2 linked regions of the Oryzias latipes genome follow. The protein of the gene in region 1 purifies or fractionates together with the protein of each later gene. This does not show direct contact. Links are inferred from orthologs where the notes say so. Each region holds a gene or a part of one and is shown on either strand. Other genes may lie near its edges. The genes, in order: rnf114 and parp12.

Evidence for each region.
Region 2: the proteins of rnf114 (region 1) and parp12 purify together in Homo sapiens (affinity purification with mass spectrometry; 3 studies listed by BioGRID and IntAct, counting the BioPlex papers as one, with this or other methods). This does not show direct contact. The link is inferred for Oryzias latipes from reciprocal best matches to the Homo sapiens genes RNF114 and PARP12.

Annotation. Positions count from the first base shown.
Region 1 is NC_019865.2:15,131,875-15,136,135, reverse strand, and holds the start of rnf114 (E3 ubiquitin-protein ligase RNF114), read left to right. Parts: upstream 1-1,201; 5' UTR 1,202-1,286; coding exon 1,287-1,423; intron 1,424-1,934; coding exon 1,935-2,085; intron 2,086-2,171; coding exon 2,172-2,278; intron 2,279-4,261. UniProt on the Homo sapiens protein: E3 ubiquitin-protein ligase that promotes the ubiquitination of various substrates. In turn, participates in the regulation of many biological processes including cell cycle, apoptosis, osteoclastogenesis as well as innate or adaptive immunity.
Region 2 is NC_019864.2:30,384,721-30,389,261, reverse strand, and holds the start of parp12 (poly [ADP-ribose] polymerase 12), read left to right. Parts: upstream 1-1,628; 5' UTR 1,629-1,656; coding exon 1,657-1,985; intron 1,986-4,034; coding exon 4,035-4,170; intron 4,171-4,248; coding exon 4,249-4,516; intron 4,517-4,541. Other genes in the region: ccdc113 (coiled-coil domain-containing protein 113), read right to left, coding at 1-132, 202-312, 785-929, 1,272-1,324.

The sequences.
Region 1 (4,261 bases):
GGAAATTGGACGTCGTTTCCTGGTAAATAAATCGGGTGGCTGTTCCAGTTTTTTTGCCCTGGCATTGGATATCCAGTTAGCTAGCAAGCTACATCAACATGCCTTTTCACTGCGCATCAGTTAGGTCAGCATCGTTAATTAACACGGGTGATGTAAAACAACACATCCACTGTAGAACGTGTTCTAAAAGACTTTCGACATCCTAAATAAAACTGGCACTGACCCCCAAATGAGTACAAGCTAAGCAGTGAACGCCCATTTAAGCGCAGATGGCTAGTTAGCAATTGACTCTGGGCGGGCTAGCAGGGCGTTCCATTGCTACACTCACTCAGCTATTTCACGCTATATAAGAGAAATTACCCAAACAGATAAAATAACAAGCCATTTCTCTTATCAACAAACATGTTATTACGATACTGTAGGTGTTACGAGTCATAACCAACCCAGAAACACAATCAAATCGTTATCTTACCTTTTCATAAGTGCTAACCATCGCTAGTTACGCCTCCTCAGCTGTTGAAAATTCATTTTTAGCGGAGTACGCATGCGCAAAATCTTGACAGTTCATGACCACTAGGGGCCCACGTGTAAAGGGAGGGGATTCAGAGCCCACACTGACAGTCATTAGTATTAGACAAAACCAACAAACAGATGCACATAATAAACCCTATAGGTAGACCGTCAGTCATTAATCATTAGACACTGCAAACGCTAGTTTTTTTAGACGCTAATTAATTTCACCACCTAAAGTCACCCACAATAAGGAAGTGTTGATTTGGATCACAATAGTACAAAGGCCAATAGTTTGGTTTATATTTATGTTTTTAATTATGCAGATAAAATATTTACTGGTTTAATCAGAGGCCAAACGTAACAATACCAGGCTGCATTCTTCGATCACCTCACCTGCACCTAAAAAAGATGATGGATACGGACATTATTCTAAATTCCCCAATTACTGACAATGACGTTAGAAAACGAGGACGATTACATTCTCTTTTGAATTGAAAGTTATATTTTCCAGTCGCCGAATGACTGCCTTAAACTTAGTAGAACTTGGAGGTGGTTGGATTTTACAGTTATGGTGGAGAATTTCCGCCATAGACCTCAAGTTTGAGTCAACTGCTGCACTGCCAGACAGAATAAATAGAACTGCACGTAGAGCAGCCTCTGCTCATACATGCAGCGGTGGCTCCGCCCCACGCCGTAAAAAAACAACCAAAACCCAGTGACGTTGCTATGGGAAGGGTTGCTTGGAACTAATGCAGTGAAGAAAAGAAATAGAAATGGCGGTGCGCGGAGGATTTAGCGCTGCACAACAGAGAGAAACCACTGCTGACGGCAGCAACGACGTGTCAGATTTTATGTGTCCAGTTTGCCTCGAAATCTTTGAGAGACCTGTCAGAACACAATGTGGACATACGTAAGTATTTCGCCTTATTTTGACCACCCTCCCCTTACTGAGGCTCAGCACCATCGATGAAACGATACCAGTTAAAAACAATGAAGGGAAATGCTTGATCTTTTAACGCATTCTGGCATTAACAGAATGCCAACGTTAATATTCTTAGATTCGCTATGAGCTAAAATTCTGTAATGTTGTCTTTTTCTGCGTGTATATATTTGGCAAAACCTATTCTAGCCTGTTAAATCAGTTTCAGTTTTGTTTACATCAAAGAATAGGCTTTATTAGGGAAATGTAGTTCATAAATCTTTTGCAGTTACTCGAAAGACTAATGTGACGGACTACAAGTCCCTGCGCCCCCTTGAGGTGGGGATTTCCATCGAATTTACCGGAAGCTAAAGTAAAAAATAATTGTCTTTGAGAGCTGTGTGGGTATTAAATAATTCCAACTAATCAATTATATTTATGTGAGGATTTTGTTTAAATATTTGTCTTTTTATTGTTGTTATTTCTTTCTACCTCTTGGCAGATTCTGTCACAATTGTTTGCAAGAGTGTTTGCGTCCTCAAAAGCCCGTATGTGCGGTATGTAGGACTACAGTTGGGCCGTGGACCAAAGCAGTGGATCTAGAAGCCCTCATCCAGTCATCAATCTCAGCTTGTAAGGGATGTGGAGTTCAGGTATACTATGAGGCAACCGTTTGTTGTACGTAATTAACCACACAGTTTCAACTTACATTTATTAATGAATTCTTCTTTTGCACAAGATTGTTCTGTCTCAGATGAGGAGCCACACAGCTGCCTGTTTAAAATACCAGGACTATATTGAGGAAGGGGTGAGGACAAGTGTCCAAAGCCAGCCTGCTGCTGTGAGGTAAGGCACAACAAAATCAAAAACATCAGGTTGTAGTCATAAATAAGTAACAAAGGTTTTCATGTTATTTTGTTTTTACAAAGTATGTGCAGTTACAACAATGAAAGAGAAAAAATAGAAATTTTAGTTGACAAAAACCCTACAAGGATAGAATCATATAGAATCAGGTACATTGGATGCTCAAACCACTATTGGTGCACATTTTAATCATTGAATGTGGTTTTTATTTGTATGCTTTTGCACAGGTTTCACAGCCACAGTGGAATTAGTTGTCTATGAAAGGTCATTACTTATATTTACATACCTACCAATTATTTTCATTTGTACGTAGATTAACCCCTCTCCTCAAGTGTCTGTAAGTCCATAACCATCACAAGACGTTGAATGATGATTCATTGTTCACTACCATGTGTCCAGGACACAGATGCCTTCTGGGTAAATGGTTTTGTCTCCATTGTATAGAAAAGGGGGGTCAATATTTGACTGCTTTTGTTCATTTATCTAGGTGTAGAAGTGGGAGTTGAGAATAGAGCCATTGTAGGTACCATTACTATTCGCCCTGCAATAACCGTTCGGGGTCCCTTCGACTGAGGATGACGTCACACTACGGTAGCACCACGTGGACAAACTACATAGCATCCAGATCTGCTCGGGCTCTACATATTTTCATTTCACATTTCCTTTTGTTACATAAAGTTATTTTCCCTCGTAAGTTGTGTCTGACATTATCCTTTGTAATGTTTATGGAGAGATTTTGCCACAACCCACTTTGTAAAAAGATCTGTGGTTTTTAGAATGAACCTGCTGCTCCACACAAGCGAACCATGTCTCTGAGCAGAGCAGCTGGAGTCTTGTAGCTTCGTGTTTGCAGGCAGGGAAGGTGCTTTGTTAAAGTGTGCGGTCCGGAGAAGGGTTCGGAACACAGTCCGTTCGGCTGCAATGCACTTCTATGGTTGTATCGTAATTTGTCCAGACCAATCACTATCTGAAACGTCATCGGACCAATGGACAGCCAATCACATAATGTGACGTCGGCACTAGTTGAAGGACCCAGAAAGGTTATTGCAGGCCGAATGGCTGTGGTACCTACACCGTCAAAAATATTCCTGCTCTGTTGGAATGAAAATCATGTCTCCCATCCTCACAACCTGTATTTTATTCTTTAAAGTCCTAAGACCAGTCTCTAATTAGTAATCTTCTGAAAAAGCTTTTTTGGCAAAATGGTGATGAAAGCCCATCTTTAGACTTCCCTTGTCTTAGGCGTGACAGAGCAGGGTATCAGGATCATGCTATTGTCAGAGGACCTAAATGACTGTGATATAACCTGAAGAAAGTCTTGAGTCATGGGTGAACCAGTAGGGGATTTTGAATATTCTCCCAAAGCAGTTGACTATGCACCAACGTCCGATTTGGCAGAAGATGTGGAATTTTACAAGCAGAGGTCAAAACATAATGTAACAGTATAAATGGAAGCACCTGCAAAGGGCCTGCTTATAAGGTGTCTACTGCACTTTGACAGACCCAACTATTATATATCCAACATTAAAAAAAAGCTTCTTCGGAGTAAACATTCTCAAGGCCAGTAATTGTGTCTAGCAGCTTGTTTAAAGGTCAAGTTGTCCTTGATTGTTGGTTTATTGAACAACAAACAGAGGAGGATTTTGGTTTTGTTTCACACTGTTTGAGGTCTGATCATCTACCTGCGCTGGCAGAAGTGACGACCGAAAAGTGTACTATAGTTGGTACGAAGTGATGACCTTAAAGTTCCTCTCCAATAATCTTTTGATCCATTGTGAAAGCATTTCCAGTGCTCTTTTAATTACAATCATGCTATTTTTAGACTAAATCAAAAATCCTTGGTCATATTTTCTGTAGAGTGACAGGAGTTCATTGGAAGTTGTAGGTAGAACATAGTAAGCCTGCCTCCATATCCCATCTATTTACACCCCCTCCCACTAGCTTACAACTCCTCACACTCAACAT
Region 2 (4,541 bases), on another chromosome or scaffold:
GCAGCACACCAGCCTTTCTGCATCCGTCCTTTCCCGCCGGCTGCTCCCCATGAAGCTGACTAAGTTGCGTTCAAACTGGCTCCTGGACTTCCTGATCTCCGCTTGGCGTACATCTGCTTCCATCCAGGAGGCCTGGAACGCAAAAGCAACAGCTGCTGCGTGAACAGGAGCCAGAGGTTAGCTGGCGGGTCACGTCCTGACCTTCCTGCCGTCGATGATCCGGTCAAACTTCTGCTTCAGCTTCTCTTTTTCTTGTTGCGTCTCTTTTACTTCCTGCTGAGCGATGTGGAGTTTTTGTCTGAGGGTCAGCATCTGTAAGGAATGGGATTTAGTTTACCGTTTAAAGACCCACTCTGATGAAAACTGGGTTTTTAACGTGTTCATGGAGCATTTTCTGTCATGATGGAGGACACGGATAAAGAAAATTAAGATTAAAATGGCATTTCTGAGTATTTCTTCGTTCAAATCTATGTGAATCAGGAGCGGACGAAAAAATGCAGAAACTATCTCCTAGAAAAAGGTTTTTTTTTTTTTAAATTTCGGCTAAAAGCGGCGTAATAATGATTAAAGACGACTTTGAAAACAGATCAAAAAAGAAACAGGAAATAAGTTGCTCTGCAGCTACAGACTAACAAGAACAATCAAGAAAAACAAATCTGCAGTTTTGAGTCCTAAAAAAACGAATAAATCCGGTTTGAGAGTTTGCAGAGGTCACAACGGACCGACAACAACCATCAAATGGGTCATGATGGTCGGTCAGGACCGCCATCAAAAAGCCTCTCACCCCATCAGCCGTCAGACGCCGCGCTCCTCCAGTCTGGAGCTCCGGCTGCTGCTGCTCCTGGGGCTCCAGCAGCTCCTGGGGATCCCGGCGCTCCATGAAGCGCTCAAACATGTCGCTCTCCCCCCGAAGAATCGCATTTGAAACTCTGTGGGACGTTTTAGCACAGGCGTGTACGAGGTTGACAGAAACAAACACTTTATTTCACTTTTATTGACTTGTAGGATATAAGCCTCTGGCATCTCGTTTTCAATGGGGGGGGGGGGGCACTTTTTTATTTCAAAATAAACGTTACAGTAGTATATTCTTTATTTACAAGCATTTCTCACTGATTGTTGTTTCTTGGCAACAACCCATATAGGGATGGAAGCTCATAATGTTAAAGTCATCAAATGAGCATAAATATGGTATAAAGTTGGTAAAAATTTCTGAAATCGCAGAAAAGGACATTTTTTAAATCACAGTCTTTAAATAAACGAAACGTTTTTACCGTAGCTGTTGAATCTGCTCGTGAATTAATGTCGTTGTCCCGTTTCTTTCCATGGTCTTCGCTTCCTGCGGTTGCTAAGGTGAAATAACCTGCCGGTTTGGTTGCTATGGACGTCCGTCTACGTCATGACGTAAACAGCGTCCTAACGTAAACAATCAGAACGGATTGCTTTTATATTTAAGTGACATGTGTTAAAATTGTGTTTTTTTAACCAACTCCAAAGTTATATATTTGTCACTAAAGATATTTATCGTAACTTTTTTAAAGTGGGCGGGGCTTCAGTTGAGGTGGTCACCTTTCTCATCAGTTTAGGTTTCGTTTTAGTTTCTGCTCTGCAGACCTCACAGCTGATGCTCCGCTGACACCGGGGACCGTTTCCTTCACGATGACGTCAGACATCACCGCGGCGGTCGTGAAGCTCCTGAGCGACCACCACGGCAGTCTGGACCTCCAGCGGCTGGAGCAACAGCTCCGCCGCCGCGCGGGCTCCTTCCCCGCGTCCGAGCTGCGCGCCGCGCTGACGGACGAGGCTGTGGTCGCCGTCCGGGAGGGCAGGCGGCCCGCGGGCCGCGGCCAGCTGGTGGGCCCCGACAGCCTGCTGGTCCTGAAGACCCCGCTGCGGCTGTGCCAGGCGAAGAGCGGCGCGTGCGCGGGCGCGCGCTGCGAGCGCCTGCACCTGTGCAAGTATTTCGTTTCCGGGAACTGCTCGTTCGGGTGAGTTTCGCTCTGCAGGTTCTTTGACCCAGAGTTCCGGTCCGGTTCGGTTCGATTCGATTGAGTCAACAGTTTCCTTCCAGAGAAAAACACAGAAAAGCTTTAAAGTTTTTTTTTTTTCTTTTTAAAGCTTTGAAGTTTCAAGTTTTCATTTCTGAAGAAGTGTCGTCATGTGGGCGTGGCTTCCAAATGAGTTTCGGAACCATTTTCTGGAACGATTTAGCTTTTAAATAAATAAAAAACCCTCAGTCCTTACATTTCATACTTCAGTTCAGTTTGGGTGTATCAGAATAGAAAAGAATATTCCGTTTAGTTTTATCAATTTAGTTTTTTTAGGTACATTTTTTTATTCATAAATGTCGTTTTATGACAAATAAGCACAACTTTTGTGTTTCAAAAACGATCTCCTGCTTTTCTTTTTATAAATCCCTTTAAAAAATACAAAAAAGAAAGCTATAAATCTCTTTAACTGTTTCTTGGATTATCTGGATGAGTTTTTTATTTTTAATAGATTTAGTTTATTGCTTCTTTTAGTTTGCTTTTATATGTCTATCTAGAATCTTCACAGAGTTTCCAATTCATAAGATTGAATGTCTTATTTATTTTAATAACTTATAACTATACTTTATTATATTATTTATATTGTTTTCATTTACTGCTTTGACTTTGTTCTAGTTTTCTGTTTGTAAAATCCTTTACTGCCTTCTGTTTTTGGATTTGAATGTTCCAAAAATGCTCTGTAATTTTGAATTCTGTCAATTAAAAAAGAAAGAAGAAGAAACTACTGTCGCCATGGATACGATGACTCAGGAAGCACTGGAGGGGGGTGCATTTTCCATGTGTGACGTCACAGCTCCATTGTTTTGTTTTTTTGCAGTCAGTGTTGTGAACAGAGAAAGACACAGTTTCACTTCATCTGCTTCTCCTCTACACCCCCCTCCTTCTCTTTGCTCCTCCTCTTGACCTCCGACCTCAGTCAGCATCCTTTTGATTTCATGCCCCCTCCTCCCCGCAAATTGATGACGTCACTGCAGGAGAAAGCTTGCGGCCAATATGTCTTTTGAGGCCAAAATCCACAAAAGGCATGTCGGGGAGATCCAAAGGAAGTTTTGAAATTATTATGGGATGGCCACAGGATCTACGTACAACTTGATGGACAGTTTGCGGCAACGTGCAAAAATTTAGCAAGTTTACACATTTATGTACAAAATGGGAAAAGAAAACTTTTGTTCAGTCGATCGTCACAAAATTCCACACGCCACCACGCTAAGTCTACAACCCAAGTTTTGTTGACCTTTGACTTTGGGAAGAGTCCCCCCCCATCTCGGATTTTCCTTAAAAAATCCCTTTTAGTACCTTCTAGAAATGTAAACTCCTCCTAGGGATGTTGTCGACCACAGGAAGTGGAGGCGGGATTTAGCCCATTTAGGGAGGCGGTAGGCCCCGCCCTGCTGAGAGTTTGCATTTCCATTTGAATTTTGACCCACAAAGAGCACAATGCTACGCAAATGTAAAGGGACCAAAACCGCACAGCGTTTTACAATGAATGCTATGGATTTTAAGGAACTTTAAAATGAATCTAAAGCAAACCATTTATTGAAATGCTGGTTTTAATACTGTATAGTAAATTTCCAAATGCATTTTCAATTCAATTATGACAAAAAAAACATGCTAATTTGAAATGCAATTGATTTAATTATTTATTTTTTAACAATTGTCATATTGAAATGCAAATTTGAATACTGAATCGCATATCCCTTTGAATTATGACTCCAAACAACTTGAATCGGCCTCTGCACACCTGTGGATTGGACCCCAGGTGTGGTGGAGCAGACGGGCGATTCAAACTCCAGGTCCAGATGTCTCTGGCCTACATTCAGCTGATTACCTGCACCAGGCGTGTTGTTCCCCATAAAGAGCAGAGGTGGTTTGATAAGAAGCAAAGCCTCCAGGACTGGAGTTTGACAGCCACTCATGTAAACCTGCAGGGAGGAGCTCCTTCAAGAACCAGAGTTTGGTTTTTAACGGAGAACGCGCTTTCCTTTCCAGGCACTCGTGCAAAAACTCGCACAGCCTGGCCTCTCCACACAACGCTGTGCTGCTGCAGAGATTCGGTCTGGAGGAACTGAGTCAGAAACAGCTGTTCCAGCTGCTGCTGCAGAACGACCCTTTCCTGCTTCCTGAGGTAGGTGTCACGACCTCGAAGGGACGCAGAGGAAGTCGCCGCCGCCGCTTCGTGACGCCAATATCGTCCTCGCTGCAGGTGTGCTCCCATTACAACATGGGCGACGGTCCCTTCGGCAACTGCAACTTCACCACCTCCTGCACGAAGCTGCACGTCTGCAGGCACCACCTCCAGGGGGACTGCCGGTTCGGCGGCTCCTGCAAAAGAGCTCACGTCCTGGACCAGCACGGACTGAAGCTGCTCCAAGGGTTGAGTCCGGAGAACACTCAGAACCTTCACCGCATCTACAGGAACAAATTCATCATCCTGAACCAGCAGAGTGCTGGAGTCGCAGGGAGTCTCTCCTGTAAGTGCAGACGTTACTGCTTTCA